3 linked regions of the Mus musculus genome follow. The protein of the gene in region 2 purifies or fractionates together with the protein of the main gene of each other region. This does not show direct contact. Links are inferred from orthologs where the notes say so. Each region holds a gene or a part of one and is shown on either strand. Other genes may lie near its edges. The genes, in order: Ezh1, Mtf2 and Jarid2.

Region 1 (7,075 bases), on a different chromosome or scaffold from region 2:
TTTCTCCAAATTCCCAATAGGATCAAATGGGAATCGAATGTAGTCATGAAGGCAGACACTCATCTCTCTGCTTTTGACCTGCTATTGCAGCAGTGAGTTTGGGGAAATGGTGGCCTTTAAATCATGGTTGTGGGAAGGCATTTTTAATGTAGTCAGTGGAAAAGGCCGAGTATGAAAGGAGAGGCCTAAAATGATGGCAGATAGTCATCAAGAGTCTCCTTGGAAAACAGTAACTCAGCCATGAAAGCAGCTGAGTGACAGGTAAGAATCACAGCCACGAGCAGTTCATTCAACCCTCCCACTTCCTAGGCTCCTCAAGACTCACTCACCTTTGGCATAACAGTTGGGGTTCACTGAATGGTTTGCAAAGCGAATTTTGTTTCCTTTCCGGGTAGCATCCACTACAAAATCTACATGACATAAATCAAAGAAAATCATGAGTGTCCCAGGAAACTATACTTTGGGGGGGTTCAAGGTCTAGCTCTGTGGTCCAGGATGGCCCAGAACTTACTGTAACCCTCATGCCCAGTGCTATGACTTCAGGACTGTACCACTGTGCCCATTTTTGTTTGTTGAAGACAGGATCTCCTGTAGCTCAGACTGGCCTCAAATATGTGGTAGCTCTCTTGTTCTAGCCTGTCAAATGCTGGGGTTATAGGCATCAGAAATGTGCCTAGCTTCAATCCCCCATTCTGTAGCTCTACTTTAGGATCAGTTAAGAGGTAACAGAAACAATTTAATCTAATGGGAACGTGAAGCCCAGAATAGTAACAGAATATGTGAAAGTGCAGCCTGCCTCCTCATGAGACAGCATCCCCTGGAGTCCTCCCTCTGAATTTTGGATCTCCTCCCACCTATTGGTTAGGGTACCTTCTCAAGTGCAAGTGCCCATGTTCCCATTCCTAACACAGCTCAGAAATGAAGCAGAGCCCAGGAGGCTTCCCAGCTCAGCTTAGCACTCTGCTTTAAGAGTCGGTCGAGTCAGTGCTGATTGGAACCTGGATCATAGCCAAGGCTGCTTAGTGTGAAGACTTGCACATGATCACCTAGGTACAGAAGGCCATGCCATACCATTGTTGAGGTTGAAGAGGAAGCTGGACATGTATTTATCATAGACCTTCCCTCGACGATCAGCCTCATCCTGAGAGATGAGCTGGAGGAGTAAACAAGGAAGAAGTGGATGTCTCGCCTGCTCGAGGTCTGACACTGTCCTACCTGGGAAGGGGCAGTGCAGGAGAGCAAGACTCTGCTAGCCCTCTCCACCAAAGCTGACCAGGGTGAAGGCTAGAGAGAGCAAGATACCAACACTTGACAAACAGTGGTTTGTTTCAGGATTGCAAACAGTTCTGTGGGATCCCCTGAGAGGCCACATGAAAACTGGGCTGAGTTATTTAGAGATGAATTCACAGAAGCCTAACCCACAGAAAGTCAGAGAGCTTCTTGTCAGTATCTTCCCAGTAAGAACACGGGCTGAACCTGGAACACTCACCTCACCACAATATTCAGAAATGAATTCATTCTTCTGCACAGACTCCTTGATGAAGGTGCCCCATCCGGCCACATCGGAAGGGGCCAGCAGCAGGTGCTGGGGGAGAGGGAGGCAAGCCTTAGATGGCGGGCGGGTGGGCGGGTGTGAGTGGGTGTGAGTGCTTCATGTGCACGTGTGGGACGGGGGCAGGTGGAAAGAACTACCAACTGTCAGGGGAACCTGAAAACAGAAGAGGTCCAAACCATTTCACTCTTGAGGGGTAAGAACAAAAACTGGAAATGGTAAAGGAAACAGGATATTTTCTTCCTCTTCCTTGTGGACCTCCGGGGCTGAGTCTGGGCATACATCATAATGTAGGCAGTAGAAGGGGCAACTCTGGGGCTGTGGAGCCCAGAGGGAAAGTGCTTGCCTCTCATGTGCAGAGACTTGGACTTCAACCCAACACCACAGGGGAATAGAATGGTCTATACCCCTCTGCTCCTTTTGGTAGAATGGAAAATTAGATTACTTTGACCACTGACAAGATCTGTCAAGCACTTTTACATACAACCCCTCTGAGGAGCCAAAGGAACAATGACACCTGGTAACATTTCCTCCTTCCCACTGTCATCTTGACCCAAGAAAAGACCTCACCTTTTTGAGGCCACGCTGGATGCTGCAGTTTTTGCAAGACACCACCTTACAGTCCCAGTGCTCTGAGGCCCCACAGGTGAGGCACAAGTCAGGGTCACACTCACGAACTGCCAAGTAGCATGGACATTGCTTGGTATTGCACTGAGTCTTACAGCGACAACCAGGAAAGCGATTCTGGCCTGAGTGGGGAGATTGGGATGGTTAGGAAGCGGGCACTCATGCAGGTCGGACTCGGGGAGAGCAGAGAACTGAATGTGACATGTCCAAGGACTCTTGGCACAACAGGCAGAAGGTTCCTTCCCCTGAACATCTGGCTTTTCCCTCAAGACAAGGAAGTGCCTCCGTTAGGGCTCAGGACATGGCTCAGTTGTTAAAGCACTCACCGTGTAAACATGAGAAACTAATTTTGATCCACAGAACCTATATACAAATGTCAGGCATGGAACCACCTATGTGCTTAGAACCCCAGTGCAGGGAAAGTGCAGACGGATGGATTCCTGGCGCTCACTCACCACACAACCTAGCTAATGAGCAAGCCCTTAGCTGCAGTGAAAGATCCCATCTAGAAAAACAAGGTAGGTGGTTCCTCACGAATGACACCCAAGGTTAACCTCTGGCCACACACACATGCACGCGTGTGCTAACACAGAGACACACACACTATGAACTAATTCCCAACAGACAAAAAGGCAGGTGTGACTATTAAGTGTCACCTGGAGATTTCCTAACAGGGTCCCCCTCTCGTCCTTGTTGACAGAATTTGGAACTGAGGTGGAAAGAACCCAGAAGAAAATGAAATCAGTGCTTTTCACAGTAAAGCCTCCTCATCAAAACAAGCACCGTCTTCGGAAACGAACGCAGCATCCGCTCTGTGCGGTCCTCGCTGCCCACAGCTCAGCAGCACTAGCTCTTATCTACTGTGGCTGAGATCACTATCTCTTCCTTGTCAGGTGACAATCACAGCACAGAGGCCTGGGTACTGCCCTCTGCAAACCCAGAGGCTGCCATCTATTGCTTGGCCACAAGCAGGAAAAATGAGGAAAGGTTAAGGTGGGTAAGAAGTGGAGAACTATTTTTCTGCTGACACCTCCTACCCTGTCTCCTACCAGATATGTGCACACCCATGTAAATAGTAAGTATGTATGTATGTATTTTTATTTGATGTGTGTGCCCACGTATCCATGTGAAACACATGCTTGAATCACCACAGAGGCCAGAAGAAAGCAGCAGATTCTGTGAGTTGAGTTATAGCTGGTTATGAGGGTGCTGGAAACAGAACCCATGCTCTCTGCTTTTAACCACTGAGCCGGCTCTCTAGCTCCCTACACATTTATTCTTAATTTTAATTATATGTGTGTATCTTTGGGTGAGTATGTATACCTGAGTGCAAAAGCCCTTGGAGGCCAAAAGGTGGCATTAGAACCCTCAGAGCTAAAGTTACACTTCCTTGTAAGCTGCCTGATGTGGGTGCTGGGAACCAATCTAGGGTTCCATGAGAACAGTATGCACCTACGCCAGGCCCTCCTATCAGATGTACAAAAACTCTTCAGCTGAGTATGTCGGTGCACGCCTTTAATCCTACCACTCAGGAGGCAGAGACAGGTAGATCTCTGTGAGTCTGTGGCCATCCAGGACTGCATACTAAGATCCTGTCTCAAAACAAAACAAAAGCCGGGCGTGGTGGCGCACGCCTTTAATCCCAGCACTCGGGAGGCAGAGGCAGGTGGATTTCTGAGTTCGAGGCCAGCCTGGTGTACAGAGTGAGTTCCAGGATCAGCCAGGACTATACAGAGAAACCCTGTCTCGACCCCCCCCCCCCCAAACAAAACAAAACAAAATACAACAACAAAATAAACTGCAGCTAATATGAAAATATTGAAATCAATGTTCTTTATCCAGCTTACTTAATATATGCTGGGGGAAAAGAAAGAGTTCTAAAAGAACTTCAGCCAGGGTGGAGTATACAGACAAAGCATAGCAAGGACAGGTCATAGATTCAACAGCTAGTCTAATAGTCACTCTGCAGTTACTGTGGACATAAAGAACCTGTATGGGTCCAGTGTGATGGCGCACACCTGTAATCCCAGCATCCAGGAGGTGGGGGTAAGAGGAGCGGGAGGTCAAGGTCATCCCCGAGGTCTGTGCATGTATTCTTTTTCTTTCCCCCAAACGTTTCCCTTTAATTACATACTCAGTAGGTGTGTGCATGTGGGTGGAGCTAAGAGGACAGTCCAAGAATCTGTTCTTTCCTTTCCTCACGTGCTTCCAGATCTAACCAAGGCTTCCTGGCAAATTCATTGTATTGCCTTTTCCTGAAGAACGGCCTCGGCTGTTCTCCTTTTTCTTCTCCTCTTTCCTATCTCCCTCCCTCTCCTGTTCTCTCTTTTGGGGCGGGGTTTAACCTGGGTACAAGGCCTGCATCATTCTCCCAATGCTAGAGCTGGTTCTATAACCAGCTCTATAAGTGCTCCTGTATCTACCTAAACAAACCTAGAGGTGGTAGGTGTTGTTAAGACATAGTTTCCTTAGTAGCACAGGTTGGCCTTGAACACTGATCCTCCTGCCTCAGACTCCCACAGTGGAGGTCCAGACCTAATTACAGTTACACACTACCACACTCAACCCATGTATCTTTTTTGTTCACTTTTATTTTTATTTATGTGTATGTGTATGTTAAGTGTGCGTGGATGTCCAAGGACAGAAGGTGTCAGATCTCCTGGAGCCGGAATCACAGGTGGTTGTAAACTGCCTGATATGGGGGCTGGGAACCAAACTCAGGTCTTCCAGAAGAGCAGGAAGTGTTGTTAACCACTGAGCCATCTCTCTGGCTCTACACTTGCAAAACCCACCATCCTGATGAGGATGGTGCACCCTGAGTGCAGAAGCTCCCACTTCTCAGCTCTCCTGTGAACAAGATGGAGAAGCCTCATGTCTAGTTCCTGCTTCCTGAACCCCACCCTGAAGGCTTACATTACTTTCACAGCTAGGAAAGATGGCACACATCTGTAATCTCAGCTACCTATGAGGTGGAAAAAAGGAAATTTGCTTGAAAATACAGAGTGGGTGGGGAGAAAGAAGAAGGCAGGAGATGGGAGGGAGAGAAAAGACGTTTTTTGGTGGTGGGGGAACGTGTTTTTGAGACAGGGCTTTTCTATGCAGCCCTGGTTGTCCTGGAACTCAAAATCACTCTGTAGACCAGGCTGACCTCAAACTTGGGAGGGTCACCTACCTCTGCCTCTGGAGTGCTAGAGGTAAAGATGGCCACCACCACCACCCAGTGTTTAGGTTTTTTTTGAGACTTTGTGACCTCAGGAGTTGGGGGTAGAACAGGGGTTGGAGAGACGGCTCAGCAGCTAGGAGCAATGGCTGCTCTTCCAGAGGACCTGAGATTGACTCCCAGCACCCACATGGTGGCTCACAACTGTCTAACTCCAGTACCAGGGGATCTTATTCCCTCTTCTGACCTTCTTGGACAACAGGCATGCCCCACAATACAGACATACATGCAGGGAAAACACTCATATACATAAAATAATGAAGTTTTAAAATTAAAAATCAGAAAATAGAACAGAGCAACCCCCACAACATGGGAGATCACACCTTTCCTCCCTGTAGGATGCCTGCAGCACAGCAAAGGGATATTAAAAGTCTCCAGGCAGCTAAGGGGCAGGAGAAAAGAGTCTGGGCACTCCAAGGCCAACCACTTGGGTAGACGATGGTGAAAGCAGGGTGCTCTTACAGTCTGGGCTGCACTGGCAGAACTTTTCACAAAAGTTCTGGGTCATGATGCAGGGGCATGTGCTGTCACACGGACGGTCTGGGTGGTCACAGGGTTGGTAGTTATACACTTGTGTAGAATTGTTATCTAAAAAAGAGAAAAGAGCAGGACATTGTTGCAACAAGGCTACCTTGATGCCCTATCCCCCAAATGTTCCAGCGCCTCATGTCAAAGAAGGCTTGTCCCAACTATGACCCTGGCCACACTCAGCACTTGATAATGTAGCTGACCCCTGTGCGTAAACAACAGAGTATCTGCTTTGTGGGTAGGGTGCAGAGATGGTCCTAGATAACAAGGCAGCTACTCTAAACATGAAAAGAGGTCTGGAACTGGCAAACAGCACACTAGGAAACTCAAGAGACCACAAGGCTTTAAGTTTATCTTCTGAGACAGCATCTCGGCTGTAGTCATTGGCTCAGCCCTGACGATGCTGCAAAGAAATCTGCAATCTGTAGAAGCAGCTAGGGCCAACAAGAGAGCTATAGGTGCAGCAGAGTGATAACCACAGGGTGAGGCCTTAATCTGAACTCAGGGTGTGTGTGTATATGTTTCTATGAGCAAGGCACCTAAGATGGAGCCCATGACCTTGAACACGCTAAGCATGCACTCCACTCTGATCTAAACCCCACCTTTTTTCTACTGAACTTACCTTTCTTCAGCTGAATTTTCCTGCAGTGTGCGGCCCACAACCTAGGAGAAAAAGAAAGAAGAATAGGTCTGAGTTGTGGTCCTCTGAAGACACATGACTGTCCTGCTCTAGCTGGACAACTGTAAGGTGCTCTTTCTGAGTTCTTTAGCAGGAGGCTCCTCCTCCCAAAACACCAAAATAACAAAAACCCAGACAAATCAAAGTCACAAAGCTGTCTCGCATTACTGCTTCTCCCTCTTGCCACTTCTCCCCTTGCCCGGCAGAACTCCAAGATGGTAGGAGGAAAAGCCCACAGTGAAGAGGCTGGCAGGAGAAGAGCAGAAGGGAATTCCTTCGTAGCTAGAGCTAGAGCCACCTCCTTTACTTGTCACCTGGCCATCATCAGAGTGATGCTTGTTATCTTTTAGACAGGGTCTCACCATGTACTTCTGGTTGACCTGACACTATTTATGTAGACCAGGCTAGCCTTGAACAGAGATCCATCTGCCTCTCAGTTTTGGGATTAAAAGTATATAACCACACTCAG
Region 2 (7,535 bases):
ACTGTGGTACAAAACCAATCACTCATGTCTACATAGGAAAAAAATTAAAGAGGTGTCAAGCACAGGTGGTGGCGCACGCCTTTGATCCCAGCACTTGGGAGGCAGAGTCAGGAGGATCTCTGAGCCTGAGGTCAGCCTGGTCTACAGAGTGAGTTCCAGGACAGCCAGAGCTATACCCATCTCAACAAACAAACAAACAAACAAACAAACAAACAAACAAACAGAAAAAAGGTGTCTTAGAGTTCTTTAATTTACAAAGTATTAGATCACTTTTTGTGACCAAAGGTGCCAAAGTTTAGGTCAGAAAGTGTAAAGCAGATTATGTTTCCTTGTATCGAGTTTTAAATTATGGCACCCACCTGATGTATAGTTTGTTTTCAAGATTTATATTTACTTATTTTATGTATATGTATAAGAGAGTCCTTCTCTTCAGACACACCAGAAGAGGGCATCGGATCCCATTACAGTTTATGACCCATTGTGTGGTTGCTGGGAATTGAACTCAGGACCTCTGGAAGAGCAGTCAGTGCTCTTAACCACTGAGCCATCTCTCCAACCTCTTTTAAAAGACTTACCTATTTTTATTTTATGTACTATGCTGTTTTGCCTCTTAGAATTAGAGCTAAAGACACTGTGATCTGTCATGTGGGTGCTGGGAATTGAACACAGGTACTCAAGAGCTCTTAACTACTGTGTGTGTGTGTGTGTGTGTGTGTGTGAGAGAGAGAGAGAGAGAGAGAGAGAGAGACAGAGACAGAGACAGAGTGTGTGTGTGTGTGTGTGTGAGAGAGAGAGAGAGACAGAGACAAGAGAGTGTGTGTGTGTGTGTGTGTGTGTGTGAGAGAGAGAGAGACAGAGACAGAGAGACAGAGACAGAGAGAGAGAGTGTGTGTGTGTGTGTGAGAGAGAGAGAGAGACAGAGACAGAGAGAGTGTGTGTGTGTGAGAGAGACAGAGAGAGTGTGTGTGTGTGAGAGACAGAGAGAGACAGTGTGTGTGTGAGAGAGTCAGATACAGAGACACATGAGAGAGAGAGAGAGACAGAGAGAGAGAGAAAGAGGGAGAGACACAGATTGATATAATGTACTGAATAAAATATACTGTATAATACAAAGCTAGCCATGGTGGCTCAGGCCTTTTAATCCCAGTACTGAGGAGGCAGAGACAGGAAGATCTCTGTGAGCTTGAGGCAAGCCTGGTCTACACAATGAGTTCCAGGACAACCAGAGCTATATAATAGATAGACTCTGTCTTCAAAAAAGAAAAAAAAATGTAGTATAATATGAATATGCCTATTTGCCAGATTTTTCAGAACCTAGGTAAAGGGAACTCTTTTTTGTTTTGTTTTGTTTTGTTTTTCGAGACAGGGTTTCTCTGTATAGCCCTGGCTGTCCTGGAACTCACTCTGTAGACCAGGCTGGCCTTGAATTCAGAAATCTGCCTGCCTCTGCCTCTCAAGTGCTAGGATCAAAGGCGTGCGCCACCACCGCCCAGCTTAAAGGGAACTCTTGAAATATGAGTGAAAGGAATTTAGATCATAAGAGGTATTTCTTCAGAGAGAAAATTCAGTACTGCCTCTGTGACATAATCTGTGATAAAAAGTATATGACTCTGAAAATATTTTCACAAAATAGAAACGTATTACAGGTGTTTCTATAAGTGCTGGGTTGCATTCAAATATAAGTCAAAGATATAAGCATGCATTCCATTTATCAGCTGGGCCTCATATAAAAGCCTGCAATAGTATGAAAGTTGTGTGTTCCTTCAATCAACTGCTTTGCAGGAGGGTATGCTCAAATTTCACTACAATTAGGAAAGGTCACAAAGCAGGTAAACAGGGAAAAAAAAATCTCGTTCATCGTCAGAGGAAAAAAAAGTGAAAATCTCCCATTACAGATTCCAGATAAGTTTGGATTTGGATAGTATTCATTGAACGAAATTTGCCATCCAGGGTCTCCTCCCCACTTAAGGGGATTATAACAGCAGGCCTCTAGGTGAAGGTAAAAGAAAAGTATTTTTTCCAGTTAATAATTTCCTTTCTTCAGAAAGGAAATCACCCCATCAAGATGTACTGAGCAATATCCTATTTCTGAGGGCATTAAAAAAGACCGCACGAAAGACTGGACACGATCTCTCTTTTTAAAAGACCTAGTAAGGCAAGCATCAGCGTCGGGAAGCGCTGCGCTCACTATTGTGTCTGCACCGGCAGCAAGAGGACTTAATTCCACCGCGACGTTAAAGAGTCCCTCTTTGTTCAGCGCTGGTCCGGGACGCAGGGCGCGGTGTTCCTCCGCGCTCGCCGCGCAGGCCCCGCCCCTCTGCGGCTCTGGAGAGCTGCCATTCGGCCCCGGAGTAGCTCCGCGCTCCCAGAATGCACCGCTAGTCCGCGGGAAACCAAAATGGCGAAGGGCTGTTGCGAAGTGGTCTGTGTTTGAGGCCGGTGTGAGCACGCACATTCTCCTTCCTAACCCTCGTCCCCAAGGAACTCGGTGTGTGTGTGCGTGTGCGCAGGGCTCCCGCTGGGGCGGGTGCCCAGGGAGTGCCCGGACTCGCGGGGGAGCGCCCACGGGAACGAGATTGCTTCTATTTTCCTGTATGAAGCGGTTGGCACCACTTAAGTGACCGAATGAGGTGAGAGACCTTGGCCTGGGAACCGACTCTTTGGGAGGAGGTTGGGATGAGGAGAGACGAAAGAAAGGAAGCAAAAGAAAGGGGAAAGATGGAGGCTCCGCTTTGGGCAAGGGAGTCCTGTGTGGGGGTGTTTTTGCATTGATGCATATGTTGAAAGAATGGATCGGGAGGGGTAGTCAGTGAGATGTTGGTAAAAATAGGGACTGGGGGAAGGAGCGGGGCGCCCCGCTCGGGAGTCAGTTGGTGGAATTAGATAAAACGTTGAGACAGGGAAGCTGTGTTTGGAGGGCAGGAAGGAACCTGGGGGCGGGAGACGGTTGGAGGGGCAGGATGAACCTGGTGATGAGGGGGTGGGGAACCGAGGGGAGGAGCCGTCAGAATGCGGGGAGCCTAGTAGAGGGGCTGACTGGCACTTTAAGGGGTGCTAAGGAAAGTAGCAGTTTGGAACCAGAGGGTGCTGGAATTGTGTGGAATTGTGGTAGGGGAATCTAGTGGTGGGCTAGATAGCTAGCGTACGAGGATGAGGAAAATACCCTGGAAAGCAAGCCCTGGAAGCTTAAAGAGAAGAAGTGATAGGTGAATTGATACGGGGAAGAGATAGCTTTTATTTGGAGGCATTTCTTCCGTTCAATTAAAATTTCTTGCCCTGATAATTTGTATTCATCATTACAACTTAGTTACTTACGGCACTAAGGGGTTTAACCAAAATTTTCCAGGATTTCTTAACACATTTCCATAGTGCCAGAACTCTTAACTGTGATTTACAATCTGCAGTCCTTGGTGGTTAATTTTTTCTTTGGCAGAGATGGATTTATTGAGTGGTACGAGAGATTGTGAACAATAGGAAAAGGGGTATGGAATGCTGTTTTATTCTTTAAAACCTTTAACTTTGGTTGAAGATATTACCATGCAACAGTAGTTAGAATTTGAAAACCCAGACAAGCCTGTAATTGACATAGAAAAGTACCTCATGAGATCAAAGTAGAGCTAGAAATATGTTAGTGGTTGGTTGACTCCGTTTTCTCTAGCAGCAAGTACTTTCTCCTTCAAATAGATTCCATGTAATCTTCATAGGAACTTCTGCAGACTGTTTTCAGCCTTTATGTTTTAATTTTTCTTTTGGGAATTTCTTTTTTGGGAGAGAATTGTGGGTAAAAAAACTGATTCTTTTTAGGATGCTGGATAATACTTTAAATGTTTATTTTTTTATTTAATGTATATAAGCACACTATTGCTGTCTTCAGACACATCAGAAGAGGGCATCAGATCCCATTACAGATGGTTGTGAGCCACCATGTGGTTGCTGGGAATTGAACTCAGGACCTCTGGAAGAGCAATCGGCACTCTTAACCACTGAGCCATCTCTCCAGCCCCCTGGACAATGCTTTAAGTGGAGGATTTTTGTTTTTTGTTTTTTTGTTTTTCCTTTTTAAGTTTTGAAGCAGGGTCTCGTTATATAACTCTGGCCAGCCTGGAACTCACTTTGTATTCCAGACTGGCTTGAAAAGACAGATCTGTCTGCACCTGCACACTGAATGCTGATGGAGATCACTACCATGCTCGGCTGTTATTACTTTACTTGAGTTCACATCAGCAACTATCATTGGGTATGCAACTATATTTAAATGTGTACTGTGGAGATTTCTTTTCCTTTTGTTTTCTCCTTTTCTTATTTATTTATTTATTTATTTACTTACTTATTTATTTATTTTTGGAGACAGGGTTTCTCTGTATAGCCCTGGCTGTCCTGGAACTCACTTTGTATAGACCAGGCTGGCCTTGAACTCAGTAATCCACCTGCCTCTGCCTCCCAAGTGCTGGGATTGAAAAATTGCCTGGCGAATTTTTTTTCCTTATTTGTTCAAAAAGTATATATTGGGGACTTTGTGTCATATGTGGTCTTAAATATTAAAAATACCGTTGTTGAACAATAGACATGTTCAGAGCTCATGTAGAGTATGCAGTTTGATTTTTGAGCAATGAGTAATGATAGAATGAACACACAAACACAAACGTGTACATGGGTGCACAGGCATACGTGGCAAGCACCATTTAACACCTTCAAGTTACACAATTGATATTTGATGGTAGTAATGATGAAAGTACAAAATAGATTCATAATGGAGTATGCAATTGAGATAGCTGAATTCAAGACAGTAATACAGCTGAGATTAAAGAAGACAAACATTCTGTCAAATGAATACACCCTGAATTTTGGGGAAAAATGTATAAGACATTTAAAAATTAAAAAAAAATGCATATGTGGTGGGGGAGGGTTAGGGGGGTATGTGCTACTGTCCATGGAGGCCAGAAGCATGAGAGTCATAGGTGGTTGTGAGCTGCCTAATAAGTGCTGGAAACCAAACTCAGTTCTTCTCCAAGAGTAATATGTGTTTTTAATGGCTGAGACATGTCTCTAGCCCCCATAAAGGATATTTTTCACCAGTTATAGTGGTTTTAAAATTTAACCTGCTGTAATGAATGCATTTTTCATTTTCTGTTTTATTTTAAGACTTAAAAAAAAAAAGATTATGTGTTTGAGTACACTATAGCTGTCTTCAGACACACCAGAAGAGGGTGTCAGATCCCATTACAGATGGTTGTGAGCTACCATGTGGTTGCTGGGAATTGAACTCAGGACCTTTGGAAGAATAGTCAATGCTCTTAACTGCTGAGCCATCTCTCCAGCCCCAACTTATTTTTATGTATATGAAGATTTTTGCCTGCATGTATATGTGTGCACCACATGGGAGCAGTGCCCACAGAGGCCAAAAGAAGGTGGTTTATTCCTTTGGAACTGGAGTTAGAAATGGTTGTAAGTTGCCATGTTAATGCTGGGAATCAAAGGCCCTGGAGATTGAACTCAGGTCCTCTGGAAGGACAGCCAGTACTCCTACTTCTGAGCCATCTCTACAGTCTAAGAATGAATTTCTTGACAGCAGATAGGGGCAGAAAGATCCAAAGTTCAAGGCTATTCTTAGCTATATATGAATTCGCAGCTAGCCTGGGACACATGAGGCCCCATTTGGGAAAAAAAGTAGAAATGATTACCAGGGGCTAAATAATAATCATAATATAATCATATCATAAAAGTAGGACTTAGACATAAAGTGATGGTTTAACTTCATTGTCAATTTGATTAGATTCAGATTCACCATGGAAATATACCTCTGGATATGCCTATGATTGTTTTCAGAAAGGTTTAACTGAGGAGGGAAGACCCACCCTGACTATGTGAGGCCACCATACCCATGGGCTGGGGTCCTGGATTGAATCAAATGGAGGAAGCAAGCTGAGCATGAACATTGACCTTCCTGACTGCAGATATCAGTGCGATAGCTGTCTCCTGCTTCTTCTACTATGCCTCCCCCTTCCATGATGGACTGTACTCTGAAACTGTGAGCCAAAATATACACTTTTTTTATGTTGTTTTTGTCAGAGTTTTTTACACAGCAATGAGAAAAATACTGAATGCATATATTAATAAAATTTCAAGACATGAAGAACAAAGGACTGTGGCTCAGTAGAGTAAGATTTTTCATCCTAGTGCTGAGTATAGTAAGTGAACAGCACCAGACTTTCTTTACAGAGGGAAATTCTTTACAATGTAAAGTTCTGTGTGTAGGAACTGAATGAGTCAGTTGTTATTTATTGCTTGGCCTCACCTGGCACTCCTGTGTTGAAACTTTGTTCCTTTCCTAGCTAGGACTACAGGTTCCTGCTACTCTACCAGTGAGTTGCAATGAGGACTGAGATATTTGTAGGTCTAGAAGAAGACCTTAGAGAAGCTTTGTGCACATATCCTTTTACTGTATGCCACGTCTCTAGCCAAAGAGTATGTGATCCAGAAAGCTTTGGCGTGGTGTGAACAAGGCCCAGCAATCCCAGATTGATGCAGAAACATTGTGAGCTCTAAAAGCAATGGTTATTCGTGGAAAGGGAAAGAAATTTAAATTATCTTTGACAACTTAAAAATGAAGTGTTAATAGGATATATTAAGGATTCTGGGCAAACAGTTTGTCCTATTCTGGTTTGTTTCTATCTTTTTTTTTTCTTTGATGTGATGCCTGTAATCTCATGAGAAAGATAAAGAGTATGGGTTTTGGTAGTGGGGAGGATCTAGGAGCAGTTGGGGGTAGGGGAAGTCATAATCGGAATATACTGTATGGAAAAAATCTACAATGAAAAAAAGTGTGACTAGAAATAGAGTAAGTACACTTTGTTTGGTTTTAAGAAAGAGTCTCATGTAGCCTAGCCTGGTCATGAACTCCTGATTCTAGAGCTAGGATCGCAGGTTGTATGCCAGTTAATACTACTACTATTAAGTAGTATTTCAGTGGTTAATTTTTTTTTCCTCCCCTTCTCTCTTCTTGCTTATGGTTTTATGGAATGGTCTCCCATCTCTTGCAAAGGGAAGTTTCTTGATGAGGAGTGAGAACTACACTTAACTGGGCATAAGTAAAAATATTTAGGATATAGTTAGGGGTTGATTATGCTGGTTTAGTAAATGATAGTTGTAGGTTCTCCACTAAGATCCCTGACTTCACTAGTCCTAGGTAGTTGACTAGATTTCCATTATTAACACAAGTTTTTTCTCTCTGAGTAGGGTCTTAAGTCCAGTTAGAGTTACTGGTTACCACCAAGGTATGCATTCCACTGCTGCACCATAAAGGTTATTGTGCCAGCTGTTATAGCTGGGTAGGAAGGGCTGTTGCTTCCTTCATTTGGCAGCTTGCATGGCACCTTCTGGAAACATGAAGCTAGTCAGTTCTAGTTTAGGTGTCTCTGGTCCCACTGTCTGAAGTTCATGGTATCATCAGCATTAGGAACTTATCTTCTACCACTTGGGATTGGGTAACCAAAGGCAATAGCAATAGTCTGCAATGTTTTAGGAGTCTCTTGGAC
Region 3 (7,075 bases), on a different chromosome or scaffold from region 2:
AATAACTACCAACAGGCATGGAGAGCACGCCATTTCATGACAGTTCTGTGTTGCCAAAGACTCACCTAATGCTGTAAATGAGAAAGAGCCCAACCTCTAGAAGCAACACAGAAAGTCTCCTCTGTGATATTTGGTCACAGCAGCTCAGAACAGTCCTAAGACAGCGTCCTAGCGCTCATCCCACAGAACAAGTCAGCTTCCTCCGGCTCCAGCAGGGCAGGGCACACCCTACCGCACAGCCCACTCACCTTATAGATGCACTTGTGGAAGTCATTGAGGACACCTTTGTCTTCTTCCTCCTCTTTGACCACTTCTTTTTCCTGAGCGAACAGCCGCCGCCGGCCCGTCTTCAGTGGGGCCCGGCCCACCTCCTTGAGCTTGCTACGGAATCCATTCCTAGGTGTGACACCGTGGACGAGCCCATTCTTGGGCTCAAAGCGGGGCAGGGAGTGGAACTTGTGGTGGTCGCTCTCCGTGTGCCCCTCTAATGGCCCTTTGCGCTTTTCCAGGATCTCCTTCTCCATCAGCACCTCCTTCTCCAGCCGTCGGTGCTCCTCGGGGGACAGGGAGTCATAGGAAAGCAGGTACTGGCAGTAGGCCTCCTGCAGCTTGGCCAGCCGGTCCTGGGCAGTTTTGGGAATGCGCAGCATGTCTGCTAGTTTGTTCCATTTTTTGAGGTCAGTCACTTGCTGCATGCCGCCCATCTCATTAATCAGCCGGAAAAAGCAGGCCAGGTCGAGCTCACAGCCTCCTGGGCAGCAATGGGGTGAAATGGTTAACAAGGATATCACAAGTTGTTTTCCTATGCCCTATTAGTCCTGAAAGCCTTACTACAAAACTGCTGCTCTAAAGCAGCCAGCAGCCAGCTTGTATGTACAAACAGTTTTGAGCACTGCTTAGAGTCGTGGCTAAGTACCAGGAGACAAGCAAACTAAGGTATGATCATCTTAGGAAGGTGACCAGAAATAGTATCTGAGGAATTGATCAGAAGGAAAGAGGTAGCCATGCACAGAAGGAGAGGACCACTGAAATGGTACCAAAGCTGTGCTCAGCATAGACCAGGGCACTACTACACAGAGGGGTACAGGTGACTACAGCAGAGCATGGCCAGGGCTCCCCCATAGCTTACTGCATCATCAATATTGTGAAAGGTCAGACACATGTGATCAAAGCCAAGTCTCTTCCAAATAGCCTAGCTTTCACTCAGAAAGGCTTTTTTGTCTCATCCAAGAAAAAAAGACAAGAGGGTACTTATCTCCAAAAAGATGAGTCTAAATGTTTATCAACACTCAAATATGAGCTGGGCTGTGTGGGTCAGTGGAGCTGGGCTGAGTGGGTCAGTGGTACAATACTTGCCTAACCTGTGCCAGACAAACAAACCAAAATACAACCAACAAAGAAACAAATCCATCTCAGATGTGTTTAAATACAGACTATATCTCTCTATCCACCTGGATGGAAAATGGAGAAGCCACATCACTGAAAAGAGCAATAGCTACCAACAACACAGTGAAACCAAAAACCAAGCAATACAAACAACAAAACAAGGATTTCTTCAATCTTCAAAAGTAGGGCTAAATTGACAATAAAATAAAATTAGTTAATTATTAATTAAATTAATAAAGGGATATGCCACTAGTTGACACAGTACAGGACCAGGCTGGGCGCTGCATGACCTATACCACCTATTCTGTCCAGCTGTCTACAGATTAAGTCCCTAGACTATCCTGTCAGTAAGATGGAGACAGCAGCATAGATCCCATTTATTGCTCTACCAAATACCAGAACTGACTTGGCTGGGAGCATAGGGAGGGAGGGAGGAAACGGACCTCAGACCCAGCACGGGCAGGCAGCAGCAGCTTTGTGGTCCTACAATCACATTGGCAAATAAAGGTAGATTTCTGTCATGAATCTTCAAAGTCTTCCTCCATGAATGAGACGCTCCTTGCGAGCCAACACGGCCCAGAACACACCCGCTACAGTGTATCTTTTTCAGTGCTTCCAAAATCAAAGTATTAACTATGTATGCAGTCCTAAGTGACATGCAGTGCTTGCAAAGTTCCTTAGAACTCTAAAAACACACACGTCAACCCTCATTCCATGGCTGTACCACCCATCAAGGCTTCACTTACTAAGTGCCTTCTGGGAGAGAGGCTCCCCAGGAGTCAGAGTCCTACCCAGTGGAAGCGCTAGGTCTGAAGCCTGCATGGCCAAATCAGTGGCCCTGGGTAGCTTTTATCCTATGGGTAATGGCAAAGCACATACAGATGAGTAATGATGAACTGACTCGTGACTTACAGGGGAAAACAACAAACTATGGGACAAGTCTCTGGGTTACTATGGCAACTGTACCTGCCATCTCACCTGTTCCCCAACACAAAAGCACTATGCACTGGAAGGGAGAGAAGAGTGGCACCACAGAGCTCTCTAAGGCAGGACTTACTCACTTGCCTCTGGGTTACCAGAGGGCTAGCAGTGGGGCTAAATGGGTGTGGCTTCCTGATCACGTCCATGGGCCTATATCCAAAGCCTGCTCCTCCCATACTGACACTGGCAAGAGATGACAAACCAACAAGTTTCAACAGACCCATCAGGCATGGTTAATGGCAGCCTCCTGGGAGAGGAGTTATAAACTCTCCACCTGTTAATGTCACTGTGTCCCTGGGTTGACTACTGAGCTACTCCATACATCCCAACCACAGACATTGTACTGATTCATAAGGGTTGAAACCCACAGGGAGGGGAGCTGCTGGCCACCTTGAAGGACTGGCCTCAATGTAAAAGCTAGTTGGCCTTCACTAGAAATGTCTGTACTGGAATGCTAGGACAAACTAAAAAAGAAAAAGGAATAAGGGGCTGGAGAGATGGCTTAGTAGTTTAGAGCACTAACTGCTCTTCTGAGGGTCCTGAGTTCAAATCCCAGCAACCACATGATGGCTCACAACCATCCGTAATGAGATCTGACGCCCTCTCCTAGTGTGTCTGAATACAGCTACAGTGTACTTTGGATATAATAATAAATAAATCTTAAGAGAGAGAAACTTTAAAAAAAAAAGAAAAAAGAAAAGAAAAAAAGGAATAATCCATGTAAGGTGAAATATAAGACCACCCAAGCTGATATTAACAAGTACAAAACCCTAAAACCCCAGGATGGAATGGTATTGTGAGGAAGAGTCTATAAAGTAGCCACTAAGTTAAAATAAGGTCACCCAAGTAGGCCTTACTACAGCCTGACTGATGTCCTTATAAGGAGATATCCAGACAGACATACAGAGGAAAGACTCTATGAGGACCAAAGTGCAGGTGGCCTACTACAAGGCAGAGACAATTTAGCAAAAACCACTCCTGCCAGCATGCAGAATTAGAAACCCCTAATTTGTGGTTTTGAAGCCATGGCACATTGTAGCAGCCTGACCTCAGCCCTTCCCTGGACACTGCCCAACCACAGCAACTCTAGAGCAATAAAAAGCCATGCAGCAGCAGCAGCAGCAGCAGCAGCAGCAGCAGCAGCAGCAGCAGCAGCAGCAGCAGCAGCAGCAGCAGCAGCAGCAGCAGCAGCAGCAGCAGCAGCTCAGGGGCTCTAGCACCAAGAGCAAGCCCCAAACTTATTACGAAAGAGAGAGAGGTTCTACAAGAGCAGGGAAATGAGTTGAGAAGTGCAACTATTGTCGAGTTAGAGATGACGGCCCAGCTGAACCCACCCGGCAATCCCCGAATTAACTCACCTATGAGGGGGAGCTCATCCATGGTGATGCCCTGAGATCTGAGGTGCTTCTTTATGCAGGCTAGCCGCTGCACGTTGGGGCCCCAGCGCCGGCCCAGCTTATGGATGTGCTGGATCTGCGTGACAAAGCGCATCTCATCGTTGAGCTTGCACTCTGGCCGCCAGTCTGGAGGGGGAATCACGCGACACATCCCGTACTTCTCCACCTGAGCACGTACTGACTCGATGTAGATGAGCGGGTCGTGGAACTCCTTGGCGGAGGGCCTGAGGACAGGGATCTCGTCCATCGCTGCCCACCCAGACTTGCCGCTCCCCTTCTCTGGCTTGCCCTGTGGGTCATGCGGCTTGTGCGAGGACTCGGGTTGCGAGGTAGAACGATTTTCACAGGGGGTGCCCTCTGTCTTGCCATGTGCTTGTTTGCCCAGCATATTCTTGCCAGCCGCGGCCCGCTTTGGCCGATTCCTTTCCAAACTTCGCTCGGGCACTTCCTTCTTCACGTGTCCATTCAGCAGAGACTTTTCTCCTGAAGCCGCTGAGGCCTTTTTGCCAGGGGCTTCAGCATTGCCTGCCACCCCCTTCATCTTCTTGGGGGGTGACTGCGGCTTGTCCACTTGCTGTGCCTCTTCCAGTCTCCTTTTGGAATTCCGCAGCCCCTCCCTCAGCTGCCGCCCCCCCACCTCCTTAGTGCATGACTTTGGGTTCAACCTGCTGCTGGCCTTGAGGCCACTGGCAGCAGGCCCGGTGGACTTGGACGCCCCCCCAAGGGATAGCACCTGTTTGCGGGTTTTTGCATTGCTACTTTCAGTTTTCCCTGAGATTGTGTGGTTGACAGCTGAACTGGGTTTGTGGTGGTTGGGTTTGGTTTCCTTGACCAGTTCTCTCTTGGCTTTGGTGTATGTGACAGTCCCCTTGGTCACTGTGGCAGTGTACTTCACAGTTTTGGATGGTGAAGGTCTGACTTCTCGGATCTTTTTGGCACTGTTTGTACCTGCACCCAGAGATGACATTCGAGTGACTCCATTTACCTTAGACACCTATGGAGGCAGCAGAAGCAGGGGAAAGAGAAAGAATTAGTACCCAGGCAAATCCAGTGAGAAAGGACTTCTACAGTTGCTGGCTCAGAAGAGACATGAGGACATCCGATAAGCAGCAGAAAGCCCACTAAGAATTAATCTGTGCTAGCTGAATGACGAGTTTCATACCACACACAGCATTGTGCAGCCCACTGTGTAGTCCTGCCTAGCGCTCGGCCCCGATGAGTCTGCATCCTAACATCTCTCTAGATGGCTCTTTCAGGAAGCTTAGGGTCCAGAATAAAGACCCTCTCTATTGACCCATCAGTTACCCAGGAACCTGCAACAGCAAGATGCTGTTCATTTAAGAAAGGTGTGCAATAAGTTTTTGAAATATATTTTTTTCTTATTCCAAAAGCAGCTGTTTGCTATCCTTTGTGTGTTCCATGTTAACAGCCTGGCCGACCCACAGAACATGAAACCCAATAATGCTACTAAAACAGCAAAAACAAAAACAAAAAGCAAGAACCCAGCACACTAACTTCTTTTGTGATGCTACAAAACGCCTAACCCCCTTTTGCACAAATGGTTCCTATTTTCTTGCCCCTTGCAAGCCCTCATTTGGGTTTCAGTTAAACTGGGTAAATAGAGGCAGCTGTCCTGTACTGGCCATCCATCTGACAGATGGAAAACCAAAGGAAAAATTCTGTGAAACAGTTGCCTCATTCACAAAGAATGGAACAGTGTGGTTCTGGTACCACCGAACCCCCAGAGGCCCACTGATTTCCAAATACAAGAACAATGAGGTGTTAGACTCATCAGTTAAGGGTAGGTGATTTTACACCAATCACCATAGCTGTGAGTTTGGTGTTACATTTAGTCTCATGGGTGTCATCTATACCATGAATTTAAAAATCAAGAAGAAACAGGCTTTTAATGGTGCCAAAAGAGCCCATAAAACATACACAATTACAGAAACCAGAGACCTCTTTGCAAAAGAGTGCTGAGTCAGGGGCCTGGCTTGTGGATGGGAAACAGTCTTGCTGAGGCTACTAATGGTAGCTACAAGGTGCCATCTTGAGGCTGAATCACGATCCGCCTGCCCTTGCCACAAGAGTCCTGGGTGGTGCCAGGCGTGGTGGTGCACGCCTTTAATCCCAGCAGAGGCAGGTGGATTTCTGAGTTCGAGGCCAGCCTGGTCTACAAAGTGAGTTCCAGGACAGCCAGGGCTATACAGAGAAACCCTGTCTCGAAAAATCAAAAAAAAACAAACCAAAACAAACAAACAAACAAAAAAAACCGATCAACAAACAAACAAAGAGTCCTGGGTGGTAAGCCCAGGCTGATTGGGAACTTCCAGTAGAATGAACGAAATAGTTCAAATTGGCTGACATCCAAACCAACACTGGAAATTAAAAGTTCATGGCTGTCCAAATAGGCCACCTCCCAACACCTCAAGTCTACAAAGCCCCCTCCAGATGTAACGAGGCTGGAGATTTTGGAATTCCAGTCAGGTCTTTTGAGATGCTTTGTTGCTGTCTATGGACCACACTTTGAAAAACTGCTGTACAAAGTCAACATGAAGTTTCACAGCCCACTCCACACCAACACATGGGAGAACCGTACAGAAGCCAGTTAGATGTTTTCTATAAATGCCAATAAACTATCTACTATGGTCCAGTAAAAAACATAAATGCTTGGTGTGACATAGATTAAGAGTCCACAGCCTTACTTGGTCTTGGAGCTTCTCCAACTTTTGGAGACAGTACCTACCTCTAGGGAGGCACCAGAACTAAATTGTAGGACTTGGGCCTCACTGAAGAGCCATGGCTTGCCTAGAAATCACTCAGTAGATCAGGCTAGTCTCAAGTTTTGAGATCCACCTGCATCTGCTTCATGACTGCTGAGACAAATGCTATGTGCCGCAGTGCCAGCACATTGCACACAGCAGCCCACTAGATAGGTATGCCTGATATGACAGAGGGGATCTGCAATAAAGTGGGAAAATGACTTTAAGTTTAGAAGAGGGGGAGGCAACGTAACACCAATGAATTAGATGTAAATACACAAGGCTAGAAGATGGTTTCGTTGGTAAGTGCTTTCTAATGTAGATATGAGGCACTCAGTTCAATACAGCAGCAAGCTAAATCAGCAACCAGGCCATTCCACAAGCTTGCTAAAGATTTTACATAAAATATGACAATTTGAAATAGTCCCCTAAAATGTGGAACCAACCAACTGCACATAATGACACTGCCTTTCCAGCATATACTCATTTCTTGGCAGCCAACATTTAACCAGTACCAACAAAGCTCATGGGAATGAAGACTATAGCACT

What was found.
Region 1: the proteins of Mtf2 (region 2) and Ezh1 purify together in Homo sapiens (affinity purification with mass spectrometry; 3 studies listed by BioGRID and IntAct, with this or other methods). This does not show direct contact. The link is inferred for Mus musculus from reciprocal best matches to the Homo sapiens genes MTF2 and EZH1.
Region 3: the proteins of Mtf2 (region 2) and Jarid2 purify together in Homo sapiens (affinity purification with mass spectrometry; 3 studies listed by BioGRID and IntAct, with this or other methods). This does not show direct contact. The link is inferred for Mus musculus from reciprocal best matches to the Homo sapiens genes MTF2 and JARID2.

Annotation. Positions count from the first base shown.
Region 1 is NC_000077.6:101,193,397-101,200,471, forward strand, and holds part of Ezh1 (histone-lysine N-methyltransferase EZH1), read right to left. Parts: intron 6,591-7,075; coding exon 6,550-6,590; intron 5,988-6,549; coding exon 5,862-5,987; intron 2,302-5,861; coding exon 2,123-2,301; intron 1,586-2,122; coding exon 1,490-1,585; intron 1,154-1,489; coding exon 1,072-1,153; intron 411-1,071; coding exon 330-410; intron 1-329.
Region 2 is NC_000071.6:108,063,336-108,070,870, forward strand, and holds the start of Mtf2 (metal-response element-binding transcription factor 2), read left to right. Parts: upstream 1-2,338; 5' UTR 2,339-2,625; coding exon 2,626-2,630; intron 2,631-4,124; exon of another isoform or gene 4,125-4,237; intron 4,238-5,826; exon of another isoform or gene 5,827-5,990; coding exon of another isoform or gene 5,991-6,028; exon of another isoform or gene 6,029-6,188; intron 6,189-7,535. UniProt on the Homo sapiens protein: Polycomb group (PcG) protein that specifically binds histone H3 trimethylated at 'Lys-36' (H3K36me3) and recruits the PRC2 complex, thus enhancing PRC2 H3K27me3 methylation activity.
Region 3 is NC_000079.6:44,899,909-44,906,983, reverse strand, and holds part of Jarid2 (protein Jumonji), read right to left. Parts: intron 4,759-7,075; coding exon 3,726-4,758; intron 752-3,725; coding exon 249-751; intron 1-248.